Linked DNA regions of Macaca fascicularis. The protein of the gene in region 7 interacts with the protein of the main gene of each other region in a biochemical or structural test. Links are inferred from orthologs where the notes say so. Each region holds a gene or a part of one and is shown on either strand. Other genes may lie near its edges. The genes, in order: HNF4A, PPARG, ESRRG, EID1, SMARCA2, RARA and NR0B2.

Region 1 (3,500 bases), on a different chromosome or scaffold from region 7:
TGATAGCTTATTTCATTCTCACTTTGACCCTGTGAACATGGGGTTACTATGAATCAGGTGTCACTGAGATTAGGATCAGGAGCCTGTGGTCTGTTGCCAAATAGTTAAGAGCTCTGGGCTTAGTTGTCTCATCTGTAGAATGGGGTAATAATAGTATCCATTCTATAGGATTGTTGTAAGGATTAAATTATGTAAAACATGAAAAGTGCTATACAACAGTACCTGGCACATGGTAATTGTTAATTATCAACAGTCGTTATTTATCACTGAGATCGATGTGCTGTAGAGATCTCTTACAAGCATTGAAATTCCATCATTGTCATATTACTCACCATAGGCTATTATTAAACCATACCCCATGTGGTATTTTTACTCCCTGACACATGTTTAAAGCGGTTACTGTGTTCCAGACAATCTGCTAGGCTCTCAAAGAAAGAAGAAAAATACATCTGAAATTGTAATGCTCATAGACAGAAGAAGTAGTTGTTCCTAAAAGTTGTGTTACAGATAAATTACTATGAGAAATCCAAGGAATGAGAACGAGGAGAATCAGGAGAGGCTTCTAAAGAGAGGAAATATATGAGCTGGGATTTGGGCTTATGGACGTGGAGCGGGTTTGGGGTGGAAAAAACATCTCTGACGGAAGCAACAACGTGAGCAGAAGCATAGAGATAGGAAAACACAGGGGACACATAGATGCTATAAGTAGGTCAGTTGGCTGCAGCAGAGATGTGGGGGATGAGGCTGGAAGGTGAGGCGGGACCAAATGGTTGAAGGACTTGCACGCCAAGGAGCCTTGAGAGCCATTGATTACATCCAATACGCTACTCATTAGAACATTTACTTGATCTCAGAGCTTCCTTATAGGCACCTTGTTTCTTTCAACTCACTTTTGTTCTCTTGGTTTTTTGGGGCCTTCTTAACACCCTCATGAAGCCTACGAATGGGAATGGTACACCCTAGTTTACTAACCCAGGAATAGGTCCCCAACAGGCATTGCCAATATTGGATGGGCAGGTTGATTGGTCACACCTGAGGAAGATGGCGTCCCAAGGCCTGAGGTCTGCATCCCAGACTCTTCATCTTGATCGATCTTCTCTTCCTGCAGGGTCCTCCAGCGATGCACCCCATGCCCACCACCCCCTGCACCCTCACCTGATGCAGGAACACATGGGAACCAATGTCATCGTTGCCAACACAATGCCCACTCACCTCAGCAATGGACAGATGTGTGAGTGGCCCCGACCCAGGGGGCAGGCAGGTGGGCAACCTCTGGGGCTCTACCTTGCAAAGGGTGAGGATGGGGCTTAAGAGAGGAAGCAGGAGAAGGTGGAGTCTAGAAGGTAGAACCAGGATGCAACAATTTTCTGGGTTCCAGGGTAGGGAATAAAGGGCAAGGTTGTCCATTTGTTGAGGCTGTTTATTCAGTAAGGTGACTGACAACCTTTACTGAATGAAGCCATTGTTGGGATGAGGCAATCCACTGGATGAAGTAACCTATTGGGTGAAGATGTTCTTGGGTGAGAATCCCATTAGTTGACATTGTCCGTTAGGTAAAAGTGATCATTGACATAAGGCTGCTCAATTGGGTAAGGCTATCCATTAAACAATTAGATGAGACTATCCATTGGGTCAGGATGTCTGCTGGACTAGACCATCCTCTGAAACCTCCAAAGTGTAAACTTGTCATTGGGCAAGGCTCTTCAAAGAATAAGATTATCAATGGGATGAAGTGATCCACTGAGATGAGATGATATTTTACTGACGTTGTTCTTGGAGAAAGTTGTCCATTGAACAAAGATTGCCAATTGGGTCAAATTTGCTCTCCAAACCTGCCATGAGAGTGAGGCCAGTTTCTATTACTCATGTCCTAAATATCCAAGAAATGGTATTTTTTGAGCCAGTTGGCCCTGGGTCTCATCAGCTGCTGGCTCCTTCTCCCAGGAAAGAATATCCCTGTCACCCATCCCATTGCCGTTGGTGACAGCCAGGCCTGGGCCTTGGTTTCAGAGAAGCAGTTCAAGTCTGCATATCAAATAAATGATGGAGGAGATGGGTGGTGGGACCTTCCAGACCTCATAAAACTTAGGCTTTATGATCTGGGACTCACAGAAGGTTGAGTCATAAAAGACCTTGGGGATTATCTGGTTTAATTAATTCTCTCATTTTATAGAGGAAGAAATTAAGTCAAGGCGGGGCGGGCTGGGGGTTGGGGGGAGAATTTTCCCAGGGCTCTTCATTTACTCCCACAAAGGCTGGAATTTTGAGCAGCTCCTATCTGTCTGTTTGTCCTTCCAGCCACCCCTGAGACCCCACAGCCCTCACCGCCAGGTGGCTCAGGGTCTGAGCCCTACAAGCTCCTGCCAGGAGCCGTCGCCACAATCGTCAAGCCCCTCTCTGCCATCCCCCAGCCGACCATCACCAAGCAGGAAGTTATCTAGCAAGCCGCTGGGGCTTGGGGGCTCCGCTGGCTCCCCCCAGCCCCCTCAGAGAACGCCTGGTGATCACGTGGTCACGGCAAAGGAAGACGTGACGCCAGGACCAGTCCCAGAGCAGGAATGGGAAGGATAAAGGGCCCGAGAACATGGCCTAAGGGCCACATCCCACTGCCACCCTTGACACTCTGCTCTGGATAACGAGACTTTCACTTGGGAAGACGCCACTGGAAAGTCCTCTACTGCCTTGGACAACTTTTCTCATGTTGAAGCCACTGCCTTCACCTTCACCTTCATCCATTCGCTCCTCCTTCTGCTGCTGCCCCCACCTCAAACGCCCGTTTCCCTCTGCTGTCGCCTTGCTCAGCCATCCCGTCTTCTCCAGCACCACCTCTCCAGAGGCCAAGGAGGCCTTGAAAACGATTCCCCCAGTCATTCTGGGAGCATGTTGTAAGCACTGACTGGGGCCAGGCAGGATCTAGAAGGCTGTGGTGAGGGAAGACACCTTTCTCCTCCAGCCCCACCGCACCCTCCTTCTTCAGGGACTTGGGTGGGTATTTGGGGTGAGGATCTCTGCAGACCTTCAACCCGAGAAAACAAGCCCAGGTTGGCAACTGCAACAGGAACTTGGAGTGGAGAGGAAAAGCATCAGAAGGAGGCAGACCATCCACTAGGCCTTTGAGAAAGGGTAGACTTCTGGCTGGTAGAGCGGGTGAGATGGGACATTCCAAAGAACAGCCTGAGCCAAGGCCTCGTGGTAGGAAGAATCTAGCAAGAATTGAGGAAGAATGGTGTGGGAAAGGGATGATGAAGAGAGAGAAGGCCTGCTGGAGAGCATAGGGTCTGGAATACCAGGCTGAGGCCCTGATCAGCGGCAAGGGGTATGCAGGGAGCTGGGCTTCCAGAAAATGAACACAGCAGTTCTGTAGAGGATGGGAGGCTGGGAGCTGGGAGGTCAGGTGGGGTGGATGATGTAATGCGGGTGAGAGTAATGAGGCTTGGGGCTGGAGAGGACAAGATGGGTAAACTCTCACATCAGAGTGACATCCAGGAGGAATGATCTCC
Region 2 (3,500 bases), on a different chromosome or scaffold from region 7:
TACTTGCAGGGCCAAAAATACAACAAATTGCTAAATAACTAAATTTATTTCTATGTTGTGTGTTCGGTTCAGATTGCATTCTTAATCACAACCAACTACCTCACAAAGGTATTTTGAAGGGAAGCCATCAGAGGAATCCACACAAGAGAGTGGGTGGAGGTCAGTAGGTATGCCTTAATTCCTGATATCACGAAAGCAATTCAAAGTAGTATCTTACTGTTGGAAGGGCAGGAGCATGATTTGACCAGAAACACTTAGTAGTTCCTTCTCTACGTCAAGTAAGCATTGTCTTAAGCAAAGTTATACATGCCATTACTTACAGGAACCAAAGATTAGATTGGCCTCTAATCTTCCTTTCTGGAAAGGAAAGAAAGAGAGAAAGAAAAGAAAAAGAAGAGGGCATTTGATTGGAAAAACTATATTGTTGAGGGAAGAAAGAGAAGATCCTGGGTTACTCATAACTTTCATACTGCAAACTTATGATACTCTTTCTTGGTACAGTGTTTTGCACGTGTAGAGGTGATTCATGGCATTATGCCATTGGCACTTAAAGCGACAAAGAACGCAGACTAATAAGGAAATCCAAAATTCTTTTGGCCATCCCACCATCATCCCACCCTCTTTCATAGAGGATCAAAAGACAAATCTTACCTCCACTGAGAATAATGACAGCAATAAATATTGCCAAGTCGCTGTCATCTAATTCCAGTGCATTGAACTTCACAGCAAACTCAAACTTGGGCTCCATAAAGTCACCAAAAGGCTTTCGCAGGCTTTTTAGAAATTCCCTTGTCATGAAGCCTTGGCCCTCGGATATGAGAACCCCATCTTTATTCATCAAGGAGGCCAGCATTGTATAAATGATCTCATGGACTCCATATTTGAGGAGAGTTACTTGGTCGTTCAAGTCAAGATTTACGAAACCAGGAATGCTTTTGGCATACTCTGTGATCTCCTGCACAGCCTCCACGGAGCGAAACTGGCAGCCCTGAAAGATGCGGATGGCCACCTCTTTGCTCTGCTCCTGCAGCGGGGTGATGTGTTTGAACTTGATTTTATCTTCTCCCATCATTAAGGAATTCATGTCATAGATAACGAATGGCTGCAAATAAAACAGGGAAAACATGGGTGACTTGGAGATTTCTAACTTAGTGAATGCCATCCCAGTTCAGAAAACTGTTTCTTTATGTAAACTTGCTTTGCTAACTAAAATCTTTAAAGCTGAAGATGCTTAATAATGAGAAAATACTCTCAAGTTCTTTTATTCATCTTAATTATCTTCTGGGACCAAACAAATTTCACCAATTTTGGTCTTCTTTCCCTTTAATTTACACTGTAACACTTTACCTATGACTGGCTAAGAATCCCAATTTCTTTTGTTTGGGGAGTCTTCACTGTTGATTTTTATATTTATTTATTTATTTTGTTTGTTTTTGAGACAGAGTCTTGCTCTGCTGCCCAGCCTGAATTACAGTGGCACAATCAGGGTTCACCGCAACCTCCACCTCCCAGGTTTAAACAATTCTCATGCCTCAGCCTCCTGGGTAGCTGGGATTACAGGCACACACTTTCACGCTCGGCTGGTTTTTGTATTTTTAGTAGAGACAGGTTTTTACCATGTTGGCCAGGCTGGTCTTGAACTCCTGGCCTCAAGTGATCTGCCCGCCTTGGCCTCCCAAAGTGCTGGGATTCCAGGCGTGAGTCACCATGCCCAGCCAATTGTTGATTTTTAAAATGATACAAAATCTACTGTTTATCTTGGCTTTCAATGAAATACACTTTTAACCTTCTTTCAATAAAAAATCATTTCAGCAACTCAGGGTTGAAAATACCCACTTGAACATAAAGCAACTTTAGAGGCTTAAAACAATTTTTTTTTCTTAAACTTTTTTTTTCCTTTTCCTTTGTTCTCCTTCACGAGTAATAACTTTTCAGTTTTAGATGAAATCCTCTCAGATCGCAAATGAAACTATGTGCACATAAAATATGCTTAACTATTAAAAAATCACTCTGAAAGCAGATTAGAGCTATTGAACCAAGAAAATGTCTATTTCTTTTTTTAATGCTCTGGAAGCCATCTATTTCACAAAGAGCAGATATAGAAGGCCTATAGGTGAATGCTGCAAAAAACAGTTTTGAATTTACATTTTAAAATATCTGTCCTTACAGGTCAATCAATAAAATACATGCCCCAGTTATTTAAGTTTGCAATAGGCTGCTTTCAAAAGTTAAGTCATTTGGTCATGACATTATCTCTCTCTCACTTCCCTTGTATAGAACTAACCAAAGTCTGTAGTCATTGAGAAATTCTCAAGGCTGCTCTAAGGGGCAACATTTTACTTACACCGGATACACTGAAAGACACATAAGGAGTTAAACCTTGAATCCTGTTCAAATACTTGTATACCTGAAAGCACTGGAAGAAGAGCTGAGGGTATCTGCATTCTAGCTTTGGTTCTGTGGTGAACTATGCGACTTAAGAAAAGTCATTTACCTTTCCTAGGCCTTAAATTTCTCAATCAGGGGTTTCCACCTCTTCTCCAGAGGAAATTCTAGTTGTATTTCTCAGAAGCAGGATGTGTGTGGGGAGTGGGCATGTGTGTGGAGAGCTGTGAGTGTGCATGCACAACAAACATGAAGTCTCTGATAGACTAAAAGTAAACACTGTTTTGAGCAGAGATGTTGAGAATTCTCTCCTGAATGGGCACAGAGAAGGTGCATGAGTGGCCGTGGCAGCTGGCTTCAAGATGCACCGGTTGGAGATTCTATTCATATCTATGGAACTCTATGATTTTCATCAAAAGATTAAGTTTGTTCTATACTGGAGGAAGTAACACCAACATTAAGGACTCTCAGATGTTAAATATATTTCCAAACTTGTACGTCACGTCAACACCCTTTACTGGAGTTATTCTGGAAGTTTTTACTTTTGTTACAAAAAAATTCACTTCAACTGTACTACTTACCAAACTCCAAAAGGGGACAGATGTGAGGACCCCAGAACAGGTTTACCTGGTGGCTCTAATTTTTCAAGGGACCAAACTGTCCGTACCGTATTTCTTAAACATTTCGCTTGGGTGGTTTTTTTCCTTTTTCTTTTCTTCTTTTCAGGATTAATATTATTAATGGGAGAAATAAAAGGGGGGCAGAGCAAGTAACATCAATGAAAATTTACTGTATTTTTCCAGAATGTCAGGTTCTAATTATGAGAAAAATTTGAATGGATAATGATGCTGTCACAGAACCTAGAGAAAACGTGTTTCTTTGTTCTACAGGCATTTTATAGTGTATTATAATATATATTAATGAAATACTGACTTTCTTTTTCTAAAAAAAAATTATTTCATTTTTTGAGATGAGGTCTTGCTATGTTGCCCGGGCTGGTCTTGAACTCCTGGGCTCAAGCAATCGTCCTGCTTTGGCCTCCCTAAATGCGTGCTAGGGTTACAGGTGTGAGCCACCACAACTAGCCTTTATTGGCTTTCTTTAATGTCATGAGA
Region 3 (3,500 bases), about 130 Mb from region 7:
GCATATGTGAATGTGCATGAACACATGCACGCATTTATTAATGAATGCTAGTGATCAGTCACTAAGTTTTGCAGGCTCTAGGAAATAATCTTTAAATATTGGCTTTAATTTTATACTTGATGTCTTTCTATATTGCCAAATGGCTATGAAATAGAGCAATTTAAATAAAGAAACAAAGTGATTGAGGATATATTCCCTATGTGTTTTAGTCAGATCAATAAAAGACACAGTTATGCTTATGGAAGCGTGCTGACAAACAGTAATTACAGAGCTGAGAATCATCTGTTCAGCCTTGAAAATAAAAGTTTTATTCCGCTCATAATAAAATGATTGCAGCATCAGAATGAGGAAGGAAAGGTAGAGTGAGGATAAATACAATTTTAGAAATGGTATAGACTTTGCAAATCACCACCTCTTCCATTGATAAATTTAGAATCTAGAGTTGATTTAGATATTGACACTGGTTCTCCAAGAGAAAGGTAAAATGAAAGCAATTGGACCCTTTAGAGCTTTTGTTTATGGCCTGTCTGGGCCCCTTGTTGTAACCCTGTCATGCCCTTATGCTGATTACCTTCTTGTAGAACAAGAAGTATTGACTAGAGAATGAATGATGTGTAGTCCCTAGCCCTTAGGAAACACTCTCAAAGAGCAATGTCTTTAACATATGAATTTTTTAAACATATGAATGTTTTTTTTCCTCCTTTTACCTTTCCCTTTCCCTTTCTCTATTTTTTCACCATCTCTTTTGTTTCTACCTCTTTTGGTGTCTGTGTTTGACACTCTCTCCTCTTTCTCTCTCTGTATCTCCCTCAATCTCAGGCTTCTCTGCAGAATGTCAAACAAAGATCGACACATTGATTCCAGCTGTTCGTCCTTCATCAAGACGGAACCTTCCAGCCCGGCCTCCCTGACGGACAGCGTCAACCACCACAGCCCTGGTGGCTCATCAGACGCCAGTGGGAGCTACAGTTCAACCATGAATGGCCATCAGAACGGACTTGACTCGCCACCTCTCTACCCTTCTGCTCCTATCCTGGGAGGTAGTGGTCCTGTCAGGAAACTGTATGATGACTGCTCCAGCACTATCGTTGAAGATCCCCAGACCAAGTGTGAATACATGCTCAACTCGATGCCCAAGAGACTGTGTTTAGTGTGTGGTGACATCGCTTCTGGGTACCACTATGGGGTAGCGTCATGTGAAGCCTGCAAGGCGTTCTTCAAGAGGACAATTCAAGGTTAGTGTCGGACCTGGGAATACTCTCCCCACTTCCAACCTCACGTGATGAGTTTTTGTTTTTCCTTATTCTTATTCTCATAAGTCAAGTACCATAGTTTTAATTCTCTCTCGAGTAGAAAATAGAAATAGATTACAATTGATAGTGGAAGATTTATAGACTAAAATCCCCCCAGATATACTCCATATCTATTAATTTTCCTCTTACTCTTAAGCTTTAATGATGCAAGGATAATAAACTTTGGGTAGAGTTTATAAGCGCATAGTTATTATTAGAGCAATGTGGGTCTATAGAGCAACTGTACAAATGCACATTGGACTAACAGTGTTTTTGACCCCTTTGGATCTTCTTACAGATGCATGGAAATAAATACTTTAGACCAGTGATTTTCAAACTTGAGTGTGCATTAAAATCATCTGAAAATCGTGTTAAAATGTAGATTCCTGGGTCCTACCTCCAGAGTTTCTGATTCATTAGATCTGGAGTGGGGACCTGCCTGAGATTGTATATTTTAAATAAATTTTCAGGTAATGTTGATGATACTGCCAGTCCAGGGACCAATTTTAAGAATCACTGCTCTAGACCAATTTAATTACCTACTCATCTTTATTTTTTCCTTGTGGTTGGCTATACTTATTCTAACTTTTAAATGAATTTATGTAAAAAATTTCCAAATTATGTCAACAAAATGTCATCGAATGATAGAACGTACCTCCAACATATATAAGTGATATATACCCCAAACTTCATAGATTTCAGATTTATAAATAACATTATTTCCCCCATATAGTGTAGAAAAATAGGACTGAAATTTGTTTATGCCCTTTTAAACTGGTGATCTACAGATCTAGAATTCAGTTCATTAAAAAGCTATAGATATATATATATATATTCTGGCAAAAAAAATTCACGTTTTTAGGTCTCTTGTGATTCACTTTTGAAGAAAATAGGGGAAGGAAAAACATATATTTTGAGGATCCACAGCTCACCAATGGTTCTGTTCAGTGGTTTATGAAATGTGTCTTCCTAACAACCAGTTATGGACACGAAGTCTATCTTCCCACATATCAGTGGTTCTCAAACTTGCCAGCTCATTGGAATCAGTGGAAGACTTAAAAAAACATGCTGATGCCAGGGCTCATGTCCCCAAATTCTGAATTAATTGGTCTTGGGTACAGCCAGGGAAAGGGGGATTTTTGAAAGCTTCCTAGGTGATGGTTAATGTAAAGGCAAAGTTAAGAACCACTGCACTGTACTGTGTTGTATTATTTGACAGCAGTTCTCAAAGCACAGTGGCTGTACCAGCAGTACCAGCATCATCTGAGAAAATGTAAGAAATGCAAGTTCCCAGGCCCCATCCTGTATTAACTCAAACAGAATCTCTGGGTGTGGGTCTAGCAATCTGCATTTTACCAACCCTCTGTGTAATCCTGATGTAATTCAAATTTAGAACCACTGCTCTAGACCATGCTACTGCTGATTTACCACTGACCATAGACCATCATCATCTAATGGCCCCTTGTTGGGCAGAACTGAAACCAATTTATTTGGAGCCTTCATAATTTTGTGATGTACTAGTTTTCAAAGCACAAAAGAAGTAATGTTTGTTAAGTGCTAATCCTTTTAAATATTTCCACAAAACATGATTCTGAAAACGCTTATGTGTACATAGAGCAGTCTCCCACCTTCCCCTTTTTTTTTCTTTTTTGTTTTTGAGGCGGATTTTTACTCTTGTGGCCTAGGCTAGAGTGCAATGGCATGATCTTGACTCACTGCAACCTCCATCTCCTGGGTTCAAGTGATTCTCTTGCCTCAGCTTCCCAAGTAGCTGGGATTACAGACAGGCACCAACACGGCCCACTAATTTTGTATTTTTAGTCGAGACAAGGTTTCATCTCATTGGTCAGACTGGTCTCGAACTCCTGACCTCACGTGATCCACCTGCCTCAGCCTCCCAAAGTGCTGGGATTACAGACATGAGCCACTGCGCCCGGCCCACCTTCCCTTTTAAGAGCATCTGGAAATCCAACTCTTCTCCATCAGTTGCACTGAGCATTTTAGTGACAATCCCTAGTGGAATTGGTTGTACTGTCTCTCCCTTGCTTTTTTGTTGTCTGTTACATAACTTCCTTGATCTGTGGCTGATGAGAACACAATCAAAATGTTTACTTAGTCAGGTACAGTGGCTTATGCCTGTAATCCCACCACTTTGGGAGGCTGAGGCTGGAGGATCCCTAAGGCCAAAAGTTTAAAAGATTAATCTGG
Region 4 (3,485 bases), on a different chromosome or scaffold from region 7:
CAAGGATAAATAATTGTATCCTTCAATCCAATCAAGTTGACACTCAGTATTAACCATCACACTTCCCATCCACAAAAGACAGAATGGATCTGTGACCCATTTGTGAATAAGCCAGGTGAATCCACTTTGTCCATGCTAGAAGAGGATCAACTGCTTGATATTGCAAATGGCGGTGGCCTTAAAAGTATGTTTGAGACAACTTCAAATCTCCATACGTTCTCGATTAAAGTCAAGGCGGAATATCCTGAGATTGCCACAAAAGTACTGAAAAGTCTCCTTTCATTTTCAACATCCTATCTTTGTGAGGCAGGATTTTCCACAGTAACAGCAACCAAAATGAGATTACAGAATCCACTGGACATAAGGAACACACCTTGGGTGTCACTGTGTCTCATCACCGTCTAGTTGCAGGACCGTCTAGTTGCAGGAAAACAAGCTCAGGGCTCCCACTGATTCTACATTATGGTGAGTTGTATAATTCTACGTAACTACAATGTTATAATAATAGAAATAAAGTGCAGAATAAATGAAACGTGCTTGAATCCTTAAGTATACACAGTCATATAATTCACAGAAGTATATACAACTTAAAAGCAGACGCTTTTAAGTTGAAGACAGGTAAAACATGTTTTTAAAAAACACACAAAATAGTATTTTGCTATGAATACATAAAGATACATGTAAATGCAAATAAAAAGAATTTAAAGAGTACACGCCGCGTTGGTAATAGTGGAAAAATACCTACCCGGAGAAAAGAAATGGGACCAAGTATTTCTTCGCTATAACTAAAAAAAAAAAAAAAAAAAAAAGGACAATATATATGTCGTTTGTGAATTTAACTTTTTAAATGACAACACTAAAAGGACAGAATGGATTAGTTCTTAATATGCTGATCTGTGGTTATGGATGTTGTCTGGTTTGGAAACGTGGATTTAGAAGTCATCAGCACATAGATAAATTGCCCTGGGGAGGAGGAAGAAGGGAGGGGAGGCACATTAATGTTAGGAGGGCCATGTAAAGTTATTTTCCAGTTTGCTGCATCACAAGCAACAGTAGGGTTAAGTAACACAGAAACTGTTACGCTCTTGCCTACAGGGTCCCTAGATACCAAGTTCGAATCGACGGAAACTTAGCTCAAAAAGCGACGCCCACATCCCGGGAAAAACATTGAGCTACTCCAACCACAGTGGCGCGCCAAGCAGGAGGCGGTACCTGAGGACCACGCCTGCGCGCGGGGTTACGCAAGCGCGCAGCTTTTGCGCACGCGCACAAACGCACGGCCGCGCAGCATCTATCTTGCTGGAAGCTTTTTCCGAGAGGTTGAGCGGTTTGCATAATGTCGGAAATGGCCGAGTTGTCCGAGCTATATGAAGAGAGCAGTGACCTGCAAATGGATGTGATGCCTGGCGAGGGTGACCTACCGCAGATGGAGGTAGGCAGCGGGAGCCGGGAGCTATCCCTGCGTCCCTCCCGCAACGGGGCCCCGCCACAGCTCGAGGAGGAAGGCCCAATGGAGGAGGAGGAGGCCCAGCCAATGGCGGCGCCAGAGGGGAAACGGAGCCTTGCTAACGGGCCCAACGCTGGGGAGCAGCCAGGCCAGGTGGCGGGCGCAGACTTCGAGAGCGAGGACGAGGGCGAGGAATTTGATGACTGGGAGGACGACTACGACTATCCCGAAGAGGAGCAGCTTAGTGGTGCCGGCTACAGAGTATCAGCTGCTCTTGAAGAAGCCGACAAGATGTTTCTGAGAACAAGAGAAGCAGCCCTGGATGGCGGGTTTCAGATGCATTATGAGAAGACCCCGTTTGATCAGTTAGCTTTTATCGAAGAGCTTTTTTCACTGATGGTTGTCAATCGTCTGACCGAAGAACTCGGCTGTGATGAGATTATTGATAGAGAGTAGTTACATGCTGTTAAAAGAGGAGGAAACTACTTGAGGAGGGACCCAACTTTCCGCTATCTTTTGGGTTCATTCCAAATAGTTTTGTGCCATTGAAAAACTTGACCTTCAAAAAAATTTGTTTTTCAGAATAGAAGACAATAGGACAGTGACTGCACAGTTGTGAAAAAGGAGAATCATTAAAGAAAAAGGAAAAAAGATTTTAAGACCGTTGAAATCTGTTATCAAGAATGTGCTAAAACACCTATGGCTTTGACTTTGTTATTGATCCAGATTATTTTCCTTGCATTGGGGAAAATATCTTTCATATTTGTTTGCTGTAAAGATGGTTTTGCAAGAATAAGTCATGACCAAGACAAACTGCCAATACAAGAGCCCACTGATATTAATTATATAATGAGAAAAAATGTATCCAACTAGGACACATATCTTTTGAGTTATTTGGACTGAAAGTTTAAGAAAACTTGGGAAATTCTATTTTGTGATCTAGTCAAGCCGTAGTTATCAAAGGCTAAATTTTCAGTGTAAGACAAATGAAGTATTCTTCATTATTCCAAAAGGATGAGTAAACTCAAAGATGTATCACGTGTGCTCTGTATCTTAAGATGTGTTTCCAAGAGCGTCTGAAATTTTGTTTGTACATGTATCTTGATCATTTATAAAGCCACTGTGATATATAAATCAAGAAAATTCATTGTCATAACCATTTTTAAAAGTCAAAAATTAAGACATCTTTAATTAAAAACTTTCAAATCTAGACACTAAATGTGTGTGAATGTACAAAGAAACCATTGCTCACGCTGTTATATACTAGAGAAATTTTGTTTTGCTTGCTGTTTTAACTTGACAGGTGAAATACTTTAGTTGAACTTCATATTGTAAGAACTGTTAATAAAAAGTTGTCAAGTAAAAAGCCCTATATCTAAAAAGACTTTATGAACAGTTATTCTATCAACTTTTAAAGGTTTTAAACCTACCCAGAAATTACCTTGGTATCTGAAGTTTCCCTCTGTCTCCTCCTCTAATTAAGCTTGTTATTTGTTATGCACCAGCATTGGAGATAATAAAATTTCTTGTTCTGTGTATTTTGTTTGGCTAATAATATTGTATACATACTTTATACTAGTTTTTATTGTATGTGTTAACCAGTATTAAGGGAAAATAATCCAGCTTCAGCTATCTAATTCACAAATTAATTTCTGGAAATTAAACTTTGTAAATTAAGTTTTTGCCCTACAAGAATTTGCTGGTCTAGGAAAACCTGCCCTATCAATGAGTATGTTGCCATGGTTACCTTACTAAGATGCTGAGGTTCTAGGAGAGTAATGATTACATCAGAAGGCTATGTTCAGCAAAATGAGTATATCAGCAGGTTTTATCATGATCAGTAAAAAGGTTCCAGATGCTTCTGCTCCATTATAGCAGTAAAGAACAAATATCCAATGCAACAGGACAATTCAGAGCATTATTTATTTTATGGTCATCCTGCCTTTTGGGGAGAGAGAGATCTGTAAAAGATAGGACTGTGACAAGGATGATCAGAATTGTTCAGACACTAGCTGGGTTGGGAGGGAGAGATGGTGGA
Region 5 (3,500 bases), on a different chromosome or scaffold from region 7:
GAAGTTAGAAAGAAAAAAAGTCTGTCCTCTCAGCTCTGTAGTCTGGCAACACCATCATGTTTGGAAAACACTGTAATATTCATTTTTTAAGATAATTTCGACTTTTATTTGAGATTCAGGGGATGCATGAATAGGTTTCTTAACATGGGTGTATTGCATAATGCTGAGGTTTGGGGTGCAATGGATCCCATCATTCAGCTAATGAGCATAGTACCTAAAAGTTTTTCAACCCTTGCTGCCCTCCCTCCCTCCCCCGTTTAGTAGTCGCCAGTGTGTATTGTTGCCATCTTTATGTCCATGAATACCCAATGTTTAGCTGCCACTTAAAAGTGAGAACATGCGGTATTTGGTTTTCTGTTCCTGCATTAATTTGCTTAGGATAATGGCCTCCAGCTGCATCCATGTTGCTGCAAAGGACATGATTTGGTTGTTTTTTTTTTTTTAATGGCTGTGCATAATTTTAAACAGAATTCTTAATTTTCAACTTTTATAGTTGAGGTCCAGGAAGGTTCTCAGAAAGTATATTTTAATTATCTACCGTTTCATTGCAGTGGTTTTGGTATCAGGCAAATTGAGGTTCCAGTCTTGGCCCCCTTCTTTACTAGCTCTGTGGTATCTCCAGGTGTCTTCAGTTTTCCTCATCAGTAACATGGGACCATTATAACATTTACCTTATAGAGAGAGGCGTGTCTGTGTGTGTAAGAGAGAGACAATTAAATAAAATTATGCATTAAAGGCACTTAGTTCTGTTAATATTAACCTAGTTTAACTTATTACTCATTTTATCATTATTCTTTCTTTGTTGAAATCTAGTTCAGTACAGTTTGCCTCAAATTTAGGGGATGTAGTTCTAAAAACAGGCTTAAATGGCATATAATTATTTGTCAGAATAGGATTCAGGTGAACTCTAAAACCAGCAGTTTATATATCTAACAGTAATAGTATCCCAAGTGAATGGCTAAAGTGAGAGGTCTTTTATTTTCTACTCTGCCTTTATTATGCGGAAGTACATGCAGTTATATTTTTGATGGTGTGTAAAACGAGAATCCTCAACATCCTTTTCTAGAAACTCTTGGTTTTTGAGTACTATTTACTGCTGGCCCTGATTTTTTAAAAACAGCCTCATTTGTATTTTCTTTTCTCAAGCAAGCTCTGCTCACGGAGGAAGTGGCTGTGGCTGGCAGAGCGCTTTCTGAATGTTTAGGGTTGGCTGATTTCTGTGGCATCAGCACCTAAAACCGTTCTTGCTCTCTCCGCTTTAATGGCTGTTCGTCATCGGCATCTTGGCAAAGAAGACAAATGGTCCGGTTGCCTTAGGACAGAACTAGAAGTTAGAAAAAAGTGTGTCCTCTCAGCTCTGCATTCTGTCTGGCTGGGAGTTAGGAAGCGAGTCAATTGTTTCTGTCTCTCATTTCTCTCTCTGCTAAGAGCGAGCAAGGACATTTGACTTCCCCACTAGATACAGGGTGAACCCTCTTTCCCTGGTGTTAGATAGGGGTTATGGAGGAAGCCACATTGTTAAGTTAACATATACCTGTCTGCATTAATACAAAGGTAGCTTTTCTCTGCTTAACATCAAAAATTCTAGTTGGGTGTCAGAAATCAACTATCAGTATCTGGAATATGTTTTGCCCTGAACTTAAACCTGATGTCATTGTTTATCATGTAACATTAAATTGTAATGTGTTTTTCCACTGCCCCCTTTTCCCCGTTTTATTGTTTCCTTCAGACTTCAGGCCCGCATAGCTCATAGGATACAAGAACTGGAAAATCTGCCTGGCTCTTTGCCACCAGATTTACGAACCAAAGCAACCGTGGAACTAAAAGCACTTCGGTTACTCAATTTCCAGCGTCAGGTAATACCTTTTCCCCAGTGAATCTGAGATGTAGGAAATAAATGTAATTGTTCCTAAAGTGTTATCTGTGTTGCCTTTAGTCTATTCGATATTGTTATAAAGATATAAAGAGAGAAACATAGTAAAATAGTGAATCTTTTAGACCAACAGCTTACAACTAAAAATAATGAAGATGAACTGCTTATTATTCTGGTTTTCTCTTCTGTATATGGGAAAGAGTTTTTCCTCCTGTACTATGGTTTACAAAGTCAAGAGTTATGGCATTTTGTTACCATGGATGAAAAACCTTGGGAACAAGTGGGGTAGCTCATGTTTGCCTTTATGACTCCAAGGAAAAACCAGAAGGTAGTAGAGTGGAGCTTCTTCGTAAGCACAGATGTTAAGTGCTAGCCACGACTGTGAAAAGAATTTTAACAAATATGATAGCCACTCTACTGAATTAGTTCATCATTTATAGAAATACATAAAACAGTGTCTTACAGCTTATTTATTCACCAATATCTGAGTTTGGAGTGTTTAATCACATCAGGCTCATACAGTGACTAATCTGTAAATTATCTTGTCATTACACTAGTTATTAAAAGCCAGTATAATGACCTATTTTCTGATTTCTAAATTAGTAAGAGACTAGTGGAATGAATTAGAGCTACTTTTCACTTTGGTGAGTTTTGCCTTGTGGACTCAGAATGTTCAAGTTTGCTAGTCCACAGATTGCCTCACTAAGCCAAAGGGGAGAAGGAGCCTTTCATTGTTAGTCAGATGGGTTTGTTTTGTTAAAGCCTGGAACATGCAAAATGAATGATTAATGAGTAAAAGTAGTTTGGAAGTATTGACTTGGTCTGTTGGAGGATGCGAGTAAAATCACAGGCCACTCCTCTTGCTATTGTAGGAATTTGGGTGTATATTTGCCTTACTGGCTATAATATCACAGATGGACATTAGTGGTGAGTAGGTGCTACTTGGCCCTTGGTTTGTGAGAGTAGATTTCAGCTTAAATTTTAAAAAGAAGAGGGAAAATTCTCTGAGTTCTGTTTACTTCTTTCTTATTGGTGACCTCACAAGATGAATTAATAAAGTGCTGGATAAAATCTCACTAAATGAATATTAACCAAGTATGTTTTCAGGAATAAGTTTATGTTCAAATTAGCATTGCTGTGCTGGATTCTTATTGGTTTCTGATTTTTGTTTGATATTATTTTAAAAATCTGTTATTTATGAAGCTTCCCAATTAAATTAACTGTAACTAATGATGATTTCAGATTCAGTGGAATGATTATTTAATGTGTATTCTCCAGTCCCTACCCCCTACCACCACATAGCATGCAATACAGATAAAAGTATTACATTTGTGATGATCTAAAATAAGTTCATGATATAATACAAAATGTAGCTCTCTTGGAAAGAATATTATTATTGGAGTGGGAAGAAGCCAAAACTCTTATTTCCCATCCTTTGTATGAGACTATGAATTAACGTTGGTGGAGTACCTGCTGCTACCATACGTGAAAGTAATTCTTTTATTCTTTTTTTGGAGCATCATTAAAATTAATCTTTAAACACAAAGAGAATGTTAACATGACATTTAAAACAAAGTGAAAAATTTAAAAAGCTTATTAGCTAATTAGTATCATTAGAATAATTAGA
Region 6 (4,231 bases), on a different chromosome or scaffold from region 7:
GTAGGCTTCTGTAAAGACAGAAGCCTGGAGGCAAGAATGGGCCATGCCTGCCAGGCTGGGCATGTGCTGCCCTCAAGCTGAGTCAGAGGCTAGGAGGGAGAAGCTGGGGTGCTACAGTGCCAGAGGCTACTGTGCCCCCACCCCTGTCCCACCTGGGATTTCTGACACCTCCCAGCCCTAGGGGAAGGCCCTCCCCACACAGAAGGAAGGAAACCAGCTAAGCGACTCTCTGGAGCCCTGCAGGGGAGCCCTGCACCACAGGCGGGTGGGAAACCCAGGAGTCCTGGCGCCCAGCCCAGAGAGAGTGAAATACCTTGGAGGGGAGGAAACAGCCCAGATTGAGGCAGACATGTGGCACCCCAGAAGCTCCCAGATGTGACCCACAAGGAGGTACTGGCCAAAGGGTCTAGAGGAGGCAAAGTGAACACATTTCTGAACAAGAAGAGAGAAGAAAGTGGGGCTATGGGAATGGGGTGGCGGGGGTCAGCCTGGCTCATCGCTGTCCTTTCCTCCTTGTCAGAGTCAGAGACACTGACATTAAGGTCATCAAATATCAACCAGGTCCTCAGGACCTTGGTGTGTTTCCTCCTCTCCTAGTCTCCAGACCTCAGCCTGTTCATTCCTGAGCTTCCTCTGGCACCCCTTCCTTGGGGCCAAGCCAAGTAAGAAATCAGCAGGCCCAAGGTGGTGCTCGGGAGGCCGGGGCAGTGCCAGGGGCAGTCCTCATACCATCCTCCCACTGGCTTCCCTCCCGCCTGCTCTTAGCCGCCACACATATCTCAGCTGTCGAATCCGATTAGGGCTCCTGCCCAGTGAGCCGGACAAGGAGGCCACTGGGCAGGGGAGAGAGAGACAAGGACGCCAAGCAGGGATGGCAGAAGGAAGGTGGAGACATGGCTCAGGGGAGCAAGTATGGGGCCCCAGAGGAAGAAATGCCTGGTGGAGAGATCTGTACTCTGTGACCACAGGTGCTCTGGCAACAGCTACAACCTGCATTAGGGGAATTCTGCAGTACCCAGGGCAATAGCCCTGCCTGGTTCCTCCATCCCCCAGATGGGCAAAGGATGGGGGAAGAAAACTGAAGGCAGAGAGATTGACCTAGATTTAGGAAGAGGATTCCATCCTAGATCCCCCCAGCCATTACTACCGTTTGCAGTGAGCTTTATGATACATTCTCTGTATGGTCTTGGTGGCAATGTCCCTGCTTGCTACTGATAGCCATTTTTACAAATGAAGAAACTGAGGCTTAGCAAAGGGGAAGACATATATAAACACACATAGTTAAGTAACCAGGCTAAGTCTCCAGTTCAGTCCTCTGATTCCCAGTCCACTGCTCGCAGTCAGAATCTCTACTTTCCTTCTTGGATCAAGACCAGAGGGAAGTCTGAAGCCACTCCATTATCCACCGTGTCCTCCAAAACCAACCTTTAGGGGACCCAGGGAGTCATGGAAGAATGCAGAGCACACCCCACACCTAGACAGAGCTACCAGATGGGGACATGCCACCCACTCCTACCACACACTGAGAGCTAGAGGAGTTCCCTCAGTGTGACCAGTCTCTTCTATCACCCCCTCCCCAGTCTACTACCCCCAGAAGCAAGATACACACTCACACATGGTAACTCATACAAGATGTACACCCTTCCTGTAAACCCACCAAACCAGAATGACATGCCCTAGATCTTCAGAGAGCAGGGCCTGTCTGCCCACCACAGGAGAGAAAAATAAGCCACTGTAAACAGTAGGTGCCATCTAGCCCTCTCCCAGAGAGCCTGTAGTGGGGCAGAAGCTTGGGGACCTCGTAGCTCTAGAGAAACACCAGGAGCCTGGGATTCTGAAAGCCAAGGAGCTCAGGAAGCTGGCAAGGCTGGGTGACCTCCTCAATCTGGTCTACACTCCCTTCCCTAGCCATCTGGACTGAGCCTGTTCTGGCCTGGGCCACACTCTGGTATCCCTCCCCTTCAATGCATGCAGCCACCTCTATCCAAAGCTTCTAGCTCTTACAACCACATTGTCTCTACACACACACACACACACACACACACACACACACACACACACACGGGTGGGGTGGGGGCTTCTGCAGCAGGTGTTGAGATGTTGACAGCGATGGGGGCTCTAAGCTGAAAGAACTTTCCTAGAGGAAAAGGTCACCAAAATGCTCACAACCTCCACTACCCTCCAGCAAAGCCTTTAGCCACCCAAGTGTGAGATGAACCTGGAAGGGGACATTAGTTCCCCTACAAGGTGAGTAGGGAGTGGGGGCAAAGTCCTGAGTTCTTTGGGCGAGGAAGCAAGAAAGAAATCCCTCGGGGAAAGCTCAGGTCTCTCTCTGGCTCTCTCCTCTGTTACCCCAGCACTTGCCAATTCTCCAGTCTAGGTGAGGTGGGGGAAGGGGTATTAGGCAATACTGCAAAGGAGGGTGCAAGGGCGTGGGGCCTGGGCAGACCTTCCCCCTACTCCCCACTCTTAGCTAGAGACCGGGAACTGCCTCAGGAGGAGGGTGCAGGGGGCTCTGAGCTTTCAGACACCCCACTGTTCCCAGGCTCCCACCTCCCAGGACTACAGTGAGCGACGGGAGAGGAGGGATGGGGAAAGCCAGAACTGGCGAGAGGGAAACGGCTAGATCAGAAGCAGAGGCCAGGGTCAAAGGCGGCCAAAGAAGAATTGGGAAGGGGTGTGCATGGTCCTACCTGCTCAGGTGTGTGCTGGCAGGGGGGCGATGGGGTTCCCAGGAGAACCGGGGAAGCCCTCTCAGCTCGATTCAGGATTCCCCCCTGCTTCTGGGTTAGGCTGCTGCAAGAGGCACGGGTTCCCGTTGGGTCCTAAAGCCCACTCGTCAAGCAGAAGGCTCTCCCCGCCCTCTTCCACTGGGTCAGCCGGCGCAGAGCGGAGGACTGATTGGGAAGAAATAACCCACTGGAAGAAAGATGGGCGTCTGGTCGTCGGCTGGGGACAGGAACAGTTCCCTGTCTCAAATACACAGCATATGGACAACTTGAGGATAGGATGGCATGAAACAGGAGAAAGTAGACATTTCTTCCTGCCTGCCCTGAACAGATGGATTTAGGTTTTGGTGCTGGAGGTGGGGTTAAGATCTCTTTCCCTGCCACTCCTGCTAAGGCATTCGGCTAGAGGTTTTGGGAAGGGAGCATTCGTTTGGTTGGGCGCTCACTTTTGTCCTCTTCCTCATGGACTGCAGGAGTCCCTTCATCCCTCCCAGTTATTCCCAAGTGCCTAGGATGCCATCCAGGGGGAAAAGAAAACAGATTTTCAGCATGTAAAAAGTGCAGGCTCACTTAGATGGCAGCTGGAAACAGGGGGGAAAAGGTAGGACCAATGTATGTGTACCTGGGAATGTGTGGGGTCTGCAAATGTACATATATAGGCAAGAGTATAAACAGGTGGGGTTAGGGAAGGAGAAAAAAACAAAAAAGGACTTTGGGTTACATCTATTACTGGAAATGGTGACTGGCAGTGGAAGAACAGGATGCAGAATCTAGAGGTCAACTAGTGCCCCTACCCAGCCCTTAGTAATGTCCCGAATCTTTATGACCAGAATAAACAAGTTAAAGAGAGAATATTTTCCTAGATACCATTTAGGATAAATCTAGGGGCAGAGGGACTTCAATACAACAGATCAACTTCAAGGTCAGTGATTCGGTTTAGTATAGCCAGTCTTCTCAGTAGCTCAAAAGGGAGAATTCAGGTTTGGTGGGCTACATGGGCAAGAGAAAGGTGGATAAGAATTCTGAAGTTGTGGATTGAGAACATTTTGCAAGGAGAGTTGCACATATCTCTAGCAGCAGAGCAGGGAAAATGTCATCAGGGGAAGGGCCAGAGGAAGTCAGGGACAGACTTGAGGGGAGAGGGCATGGCCTTTGCCTAGAAGGGGAGAAGACACCAGCAATGCCTCCACCTCTTTCTGTCTTGCAGGAAGAACTGAGTAAAGGAGCTGGACTAAGGATGGAAGGCCCCAGGGTGGAGTCCATGGGGTGAGTTTAGGTCAAGCCTTTCACCCTAATGTGCCTCAGTTCTCTCCCAGCTGTTAAACAGGGCTCTTCGTTCTTCCCAGGCAGTTAATGAGTGTTTACAAAAGGGTTTGGAGATCCTCAGATCTCAGCTGGGCCACCACTACAGTTATAAAGTTCAATAAGAGCTGAGTGTTATTTGGGGAGGAGAGAAGTAGGGGAAGAAGAAAACAGACTACTCTCTTACAGACTAAGGATAA
Region 7 (4,233 bases):
CTGTTTCAATTCGGGAATGGACTGCTTCCTGATTGGCTGTGATTGGGCTTTAACTGTGGTGAGAGGGCGCATGAAGTGGGTAGGAGCCAGGAGAGTGGTTAGTGAAGGGTTTGGGAACAGGAGAGCAACCTCCTTCCCCTGAGGATAAAGGCAATGAGGTGATGGGATTGTGAACTGATACTGTTCCCTGGAAAATTAGTTCCAGCAACCCTGTGGATTTTTTCCCTTGGGCTACCTCTGATAGGAGCAGGGTGGGCCCTGGAGGTGAGACAGTCCCTTCTATATGCACAAACAACAGTATCAGGCTCCAAGTGTTTCATACCTTTTATTACAAAAATCAATAACTTAATTCAGTTCTGTATAAAGTCAGTAGGACTTCTGGTCCAATGAGCAGCTTAAGCTTTCATTCCCATCCCAACAAGGGACAGGAGTCTTGGCCCAGAGGCTGTGGGGACCACCAAGAGCCTTCCAGGCAGCTGGAGCACTGTGTCCAAACCAAGGAAGTCCAATGTGGGGTGTGGCTGAGTGAAGGGCTGTTCCTAAGGAGCCAAGTGCTGTCTATACAGCCTTGCCCCCTCCGGGAGCATTGGGTCACCTCTGGTGATGGCCAGGCTGAATCAGCACTGCCAGCCTCTGCCCACCTGATCTCTGCCTGGGCTACAGCTGGTCACCTCAGCAAGAGCATGTCCCCAAGAAGGCCAGCGATGTCAACATCTCCAATGATAGGGCGAAAAAAGAGGTCCCCAAGCAGGCTGGTCGGAATGGACTTGAGGGTGGAGGCTGTGAGGAGGACACGGGCCAGGCGGCCTTGGGCTGCTGGGCACCAGGGCTCCAGGACTTCACACAGCGCCCAGTGAGCCTCCTGCTGCAGGTGCCCAATGTGGGAGGCGGCTTGGAGGCCTGGCACATCTGTGGGCAGAGAGGGAGAAGAGGGTTGGTGAGCATCCTACTCCCAGCCACCAAAGGAAGAGACTGGCCCAAGATCTGGGCCATCAGAGACACCCCTCTGCCTCCTTTGCTCGGCCTTTGAGGTCCCACTACTACCTCCTCCTTTGGAGGAGGTAATTTATTTATCAATTTCCATTGTATTCATCCATCCATTTATGAAGAGGCAGTATGGAGTAATGGTTAAGAATCAGGTTTCCTGAGTATGAATCCCAGTACTGTCACTTAGCTGGGTGACCTTGGGCAAGTAACTTAATCTCTGGGCTTCAGTTTCTTTATTTGTAAAACGAGGATAATAATATTAATAGGACCTGTCTCCTAGGTTTTTATGAGATTTAAATGAACTAGTATATGTAAAACCCTTAGAATAGGGCCTAACATATGGTAAGTGTGATATGAGTATTTGCTACTATTATTGCAATTAACTACTACGATTTATGCGTGCCACAGGGACTCCTGGGGAACGCTCATCTCAGATGCTCTCCAGATTACAAAGAGCACTGTCTCATCTGCCACTCTCCTGGCCAAATTCCACAAAGACTCCCTTCCTGTCCTCCCTACACCCCTTTCAGTTCTCTCTTCTAAGTGATCTTTCTGAACCCACAGAGGAGTTTCAGCTCTAGAGCTTCACCATGCAGCCTTCCTTTGAAGATGTGACTGAGACACAGCTGTGTCTGCCCACCCCACCTCCCCCGCAGCCTTCTCTAAAGGTCAGAGCAAATTTCTCAGGCAGAGTGGCAAGGGCCAGTCTCTGGAGTGAATAGACCTGAGTTGCCATCCTGGTCTGTCCCTACCTGGCTGTGTTACCTTTAGCTCGTCACTTAGCTTCTCTGTACCTCTTCTGTGAGATGGCTATTTGATGAAAATGAGGAACCGGCCAAGCACAGTGGCTCACGCCTGTAATCCAGCACTTTGGGAGGCCAAGGTGGGTGGATCACCAGAGGGATCAGGAGTTCAAGACCAGCTTGACCAACATGGCGAAACCCCGTCTCTACTAAAAAATACAAAAATTAGCCGGGAGTGGTGGCGGGCACCTGTAATCCCAGCTACTTGGGAGGCTGAGGCAGGGAAAATTGCTTGAACCCAGGAGGCAGAGGTTGCAGTGAGCCAAGATCGCGCCATTGCGCTCCAGAGTAGGTGACAGAGTGAGACTCTGTCTCAGAAAAAAAAAAAAAAAAGAAAATGTGGACCCCATGAGATTACAGATATCAAACCCTTAGAAGTTACCTTCCCTGGCTGGCTCCTGCTTCAGCCTTGCCCCCTACCCAGGAGTGTCTGGGAGCTCACCAGGGTTGAAGAGGATGGTCCCTTTCAGGCAGGCATATTCCTTGGGGCTCAGCTCCAGGCCCCAGAAGGACTCCAGACAGCACTGAAGCCACTGCACTGCAGCCAGGGAGGGCTGGGGTCTGTCTGGCGGCTGGCCACTGCCTCCACTGCTGCTGGGCTCCTCCAGTAGAATCTTCTTGAGTATGCTGGGCACCGGGGCCTCAGCCACTTCAAAGGTCACAGCATCTTGGGCCAACCCAAGCAGGAAGAGGGGGCCCCAGCAACCCTGCAGCAGCCGCCGCTGGTCCTGGGGAGGCAGCTGCCAGAAGGATGGCAGGTTCCTGAGGAAGGCCACTGTCTTGGCCAGAACATCCAAGGCCTCCCGGCAGGTGCGATGAGGTGCACATAGCTGGACGGGCCGGTGCTGCCTACATAGGCAGCGGCTACGGGGTCGGGGGACAGCCCTGAGGCTGGAGCTCAGAAGTGCGTAGAGAATGGCTGGGCGGCTTGCAGCTCCCTGGCATGGGCAGGCCCCTGGTTGGCTGGTGCTCATGGTTGGGATCTGCCCTTACTTCCAGCTCTCTGGCCCTCTGTTCTGCGCCGTGGGTGCTATTTATATTCCCAGTGAGTGGAAGGGGGGGAATGGCCCGACAACCTTGACTCCAGAAGTCATGTTCATTGAAAAAAACACACAGACACTGCCCCTGGCAGGAATGGTGGGGAAGTGGTGGGGGAGGGGGCATTGGGAACCCCACGTGGCACTGATATCACTTCAGTCAATGAAGTGGCCGGTGCAGGGCACAGGGCCACCTGCCGCTCACTCAGCTGCCCCTTATCGGATGACTCAAGTGGATAAACAAGGTCATTAACCCAGGTTGTACCAGGGCACCAAGGCCCCAGGTGCACAATCAGCAGGTGTCCCCATTGGTGCCTGCTCTTGTGTGCACAAAAGACTAGCGCTTTCGCTAAGCCAGGAAGTCAGCCCCAGAGCTGGGTGGGCCTTGAATGCAAGGCCCGACCTGGAAGTGCCTTATCACTAGCTTGTTTGCCTAACCTTGGGGCCCTGCTTCTGTTGTCGGCCAGGAGCAGGCTACAGGGAAGGGAGCCAGGACCCTGGGGGGGCTGGGAGGACTTTGCCCGCTGTCCAGTCTCGGAGGCCCCCTTCCTCTGGTTTCAGTTCTGGGCCCCCTGCAGGAATAAGGTCCTTCAGAATCCCTATCCCCTGCCTGATTCCTTTTTTTTTTTTTTTTTTTGAGACGGAGTCTGCTCTGTCGCCCAGGCTGGAGTGCAGTGGCCGGATCTCAGCTCACTGCAAGCTCCACCTCCCGGGTTTACGCCATTCTCCTGCCTCAGCCTCCCGAGTAGCTGGGACTACAGGCGCCCGCCACCTCGCCCGGCTAGTTTTTGTATTTTTTTTTAGTAGAGACGGGGTTTCACCGTGTTAGCCAGGATGGTCTCGATCTCCTGACCTCGTGATCCGCCCGTCTTGGCCTCCCAAAGTGCTGGGATTACAGGCTTGAGCCACCGCGCCCGGCCTTTCCCTGCCTGATTCCTACCACTCCTGAAAGTCCAGTCCTGCTGAGAAGAACTCACAGAGTTATAATAAAAGATAGTTGCCAGCTGGGCATGGTGGCTCATGCCTGTAATCCCAGCACTTTGGGAGGCCGAGGAAGGGGGATCATTTGAGGTCAGGAGTTCAAGACCAGCCTGGCCAACATGGCAAAATCCTGTCTCTACTAAAAATACAAAAATTAGCCGGGCATGGTGGCATGTGCCTGTAGTCCCAGCTACCCTAGAGGCTGAGGCAAAATAATCACTTGAAACTGGGAGGCAGAGGTTGCAGTGAGCTGAGATCATGCCACTGTACTCCAGCCTGGGCAACAGAGCAAGACCCTGTCTCAAAAAAAAATGTGTGTGTGTGTGTGTGTGTGTGTGTGTGTATATATATATATGGTTGCCATTCTCTGAGCACCTGTTACGTGTCAGGCACTTCCCACTCTAATATTGGCAGCCTCCTTCTAA

What was found.
Region 1: the proteins of NR0B2 (region 7) and HNF4A form a complex in vitro, tested with the Homo sapiens proteins (4 studies listed by BioGRID). The link is inferred for Macaca fascicularis from reciprocal best matches to the Homo sapiens genes NR0B2 and HNF4A.
Region 2: the proteins of NR0B2 (region 7) and PPARG form a complex in vitro, tested with the Homo sapiens proteins (2 studies listed by BioGRID, with this or other methods). The link is inferred for Macaca fascicularis from reciprocal best matches to the Homo sapiens genes NR0B2 and PPARG.
Region 3: the proteins of NR0B2 (region 7) and ESRRG form a complex in vitro, tested with the Homo sapiens proteins (2 studies listed by BioGRID). The link is inferred for Macaca fascicularis from reciprocal best matches to the Homo sapiens genes NR0B2 and ESRRG.
Region 4: the proteins of NR0B2 (region 7) and EID1 form a complex in vitro, tested with the Homo sapiens proteins (3 studies listed by BioGRID). The link is inferred for Macaca fascicularis from reciprocal best matches to the Homo sapiens genes NR0B2 and EID1.
Region 5: the proteins of NR0B2 (region 7) and SMARCA2 form a complex in vitro, tested with the Homo sapiens proteins (2 studies listed by BioGRID). The link is inferred for Macaca fascicularis from reciprocal best matches to the Homo sapiens genes NR0B2 and SMARCA2.
Region 6: the proteins of NR0B2 (region 7) and RARA form a complex in vitro, tested with the Homo sapiens proteins (2 studies listed by BioGRID). The link is inferred for Macaca fascicularis from reciprocal best matches to the Homo sapiens genes NR0B2 and RARA.

The regions. Positions count from the first base shown.
Region 1 is NC_088384.1:100,504,392-100,507,891, forward strand, and holds part of HNF4A (hepatocyte nuclear factor 4-alpha), read left to right. Parts: intron 1-1,108; coding exon 1,109-1,261; intron 1,262-2,298; coding exon 2,299-2,441; 3' UTR 2,442-3,500. UniProt on the Homo sapiens protein: Transcriptional regulator which controls the expression of hepatic genes during the transition of endodermal cells to hepatic progenitor cells, facilitating the recruitment of RNA pol II to the promoters of target genes. Activates the transcription of CYP2C38.
Region 2 is NC_088376.1:150,693,837-150,697,336, reverse strand, and holds part of PPARG (peroxisome proliferator-activated receptor gamma), read right to left. Parts: intron 1,103-3,500; coding exon 652-1,102; intron 1-651. UniProt on the Homo sapiens protein: Nuclear receptor that binds peroxisome proliferators such as hypolipidemic drugs and fatty acids.
Region 3 is NC_088375.1:74,484,874-74,488,373, reverse strand, and holds part of ESRRG (estrogen-related receptor gamma), read left to right. Parts: intron 1-819; coding exon 820-1,235; intron 1,236-3,500. UniProt on the Homo sapiens protein: Orphan receptor that acts as a transcription activator in the absence of bound ligand. Binds specifically to an estrogen response element and activates reporter genes controlled by estrogen response elements.
Region 4 is NC_088381.1:25,379,327-25,382,811, forward strand, and holds EID1 (EP300-interacting inhibitor of differentiation 1), read left to right. Parts: upstream 1-1,289; 5' UTR 1,290-1,336; coding exon 1,337-1,903; 3' UTR 1,904-2,985; downstream 2,986-3,485. UniProt on the Homo sapiens protein: Interacts with RB1 and EP300 and acts as a repressor of MYOD1 transactivation. Inhibits EP300 and CBP histone acetyltransferase activity.
Region 5 is NC_088389.1:97,097,029-97,100,528, reverse strand, and holds part of SMARCA2 (probable global transcription activator SNF2L2), read left to right. Parts: intron 1-1,729; coding exon 1,730-1,856; intron 1,857-3,500. UniProt on the Homo sapiens protein: ATPase involved in transcriptional activation and repression of select genes by chromatin remodeling (alteration of DNA-nucleosome topology).
Region 6 is NC_088390.1:61,395,291-61,399,521, reverse strand, and holds the start of RARA (retinoic acid receptor alpha), read right to left. Parts: upstream 2,801-4,231; 5' UTR 2,694-2,800; intron 1-2,693. UniProt on the Homo sapiens protein: Receptor for retinoic acid. Retinoic acid receptors bind as heterodimers to their target response elements in response to their ligands, all-trans or 9-cis retinoic acid, and regulate gene expression in various biological processes.
Region 7 is NC_088375.1:208,192,553-208,196,785, reverse strand, and holds NR0B2 (nuclear receptor subfamily 0 group B member 2), read right to left. Parts: upstream 2,801-4,233; 5' UTR 2,765-2,800; coding exon 2,233-2,764; intron 910-2,232; coding exon 668-909; 3' UTR 312-667; downstream 1-311. UniProt on the Homo sapiens protein: Transcriptional regulator that acts as a negative regulator of receptor-dependent signaling pathways. Specifically inhibits transactivation of the nuclear receptor with which it interacts.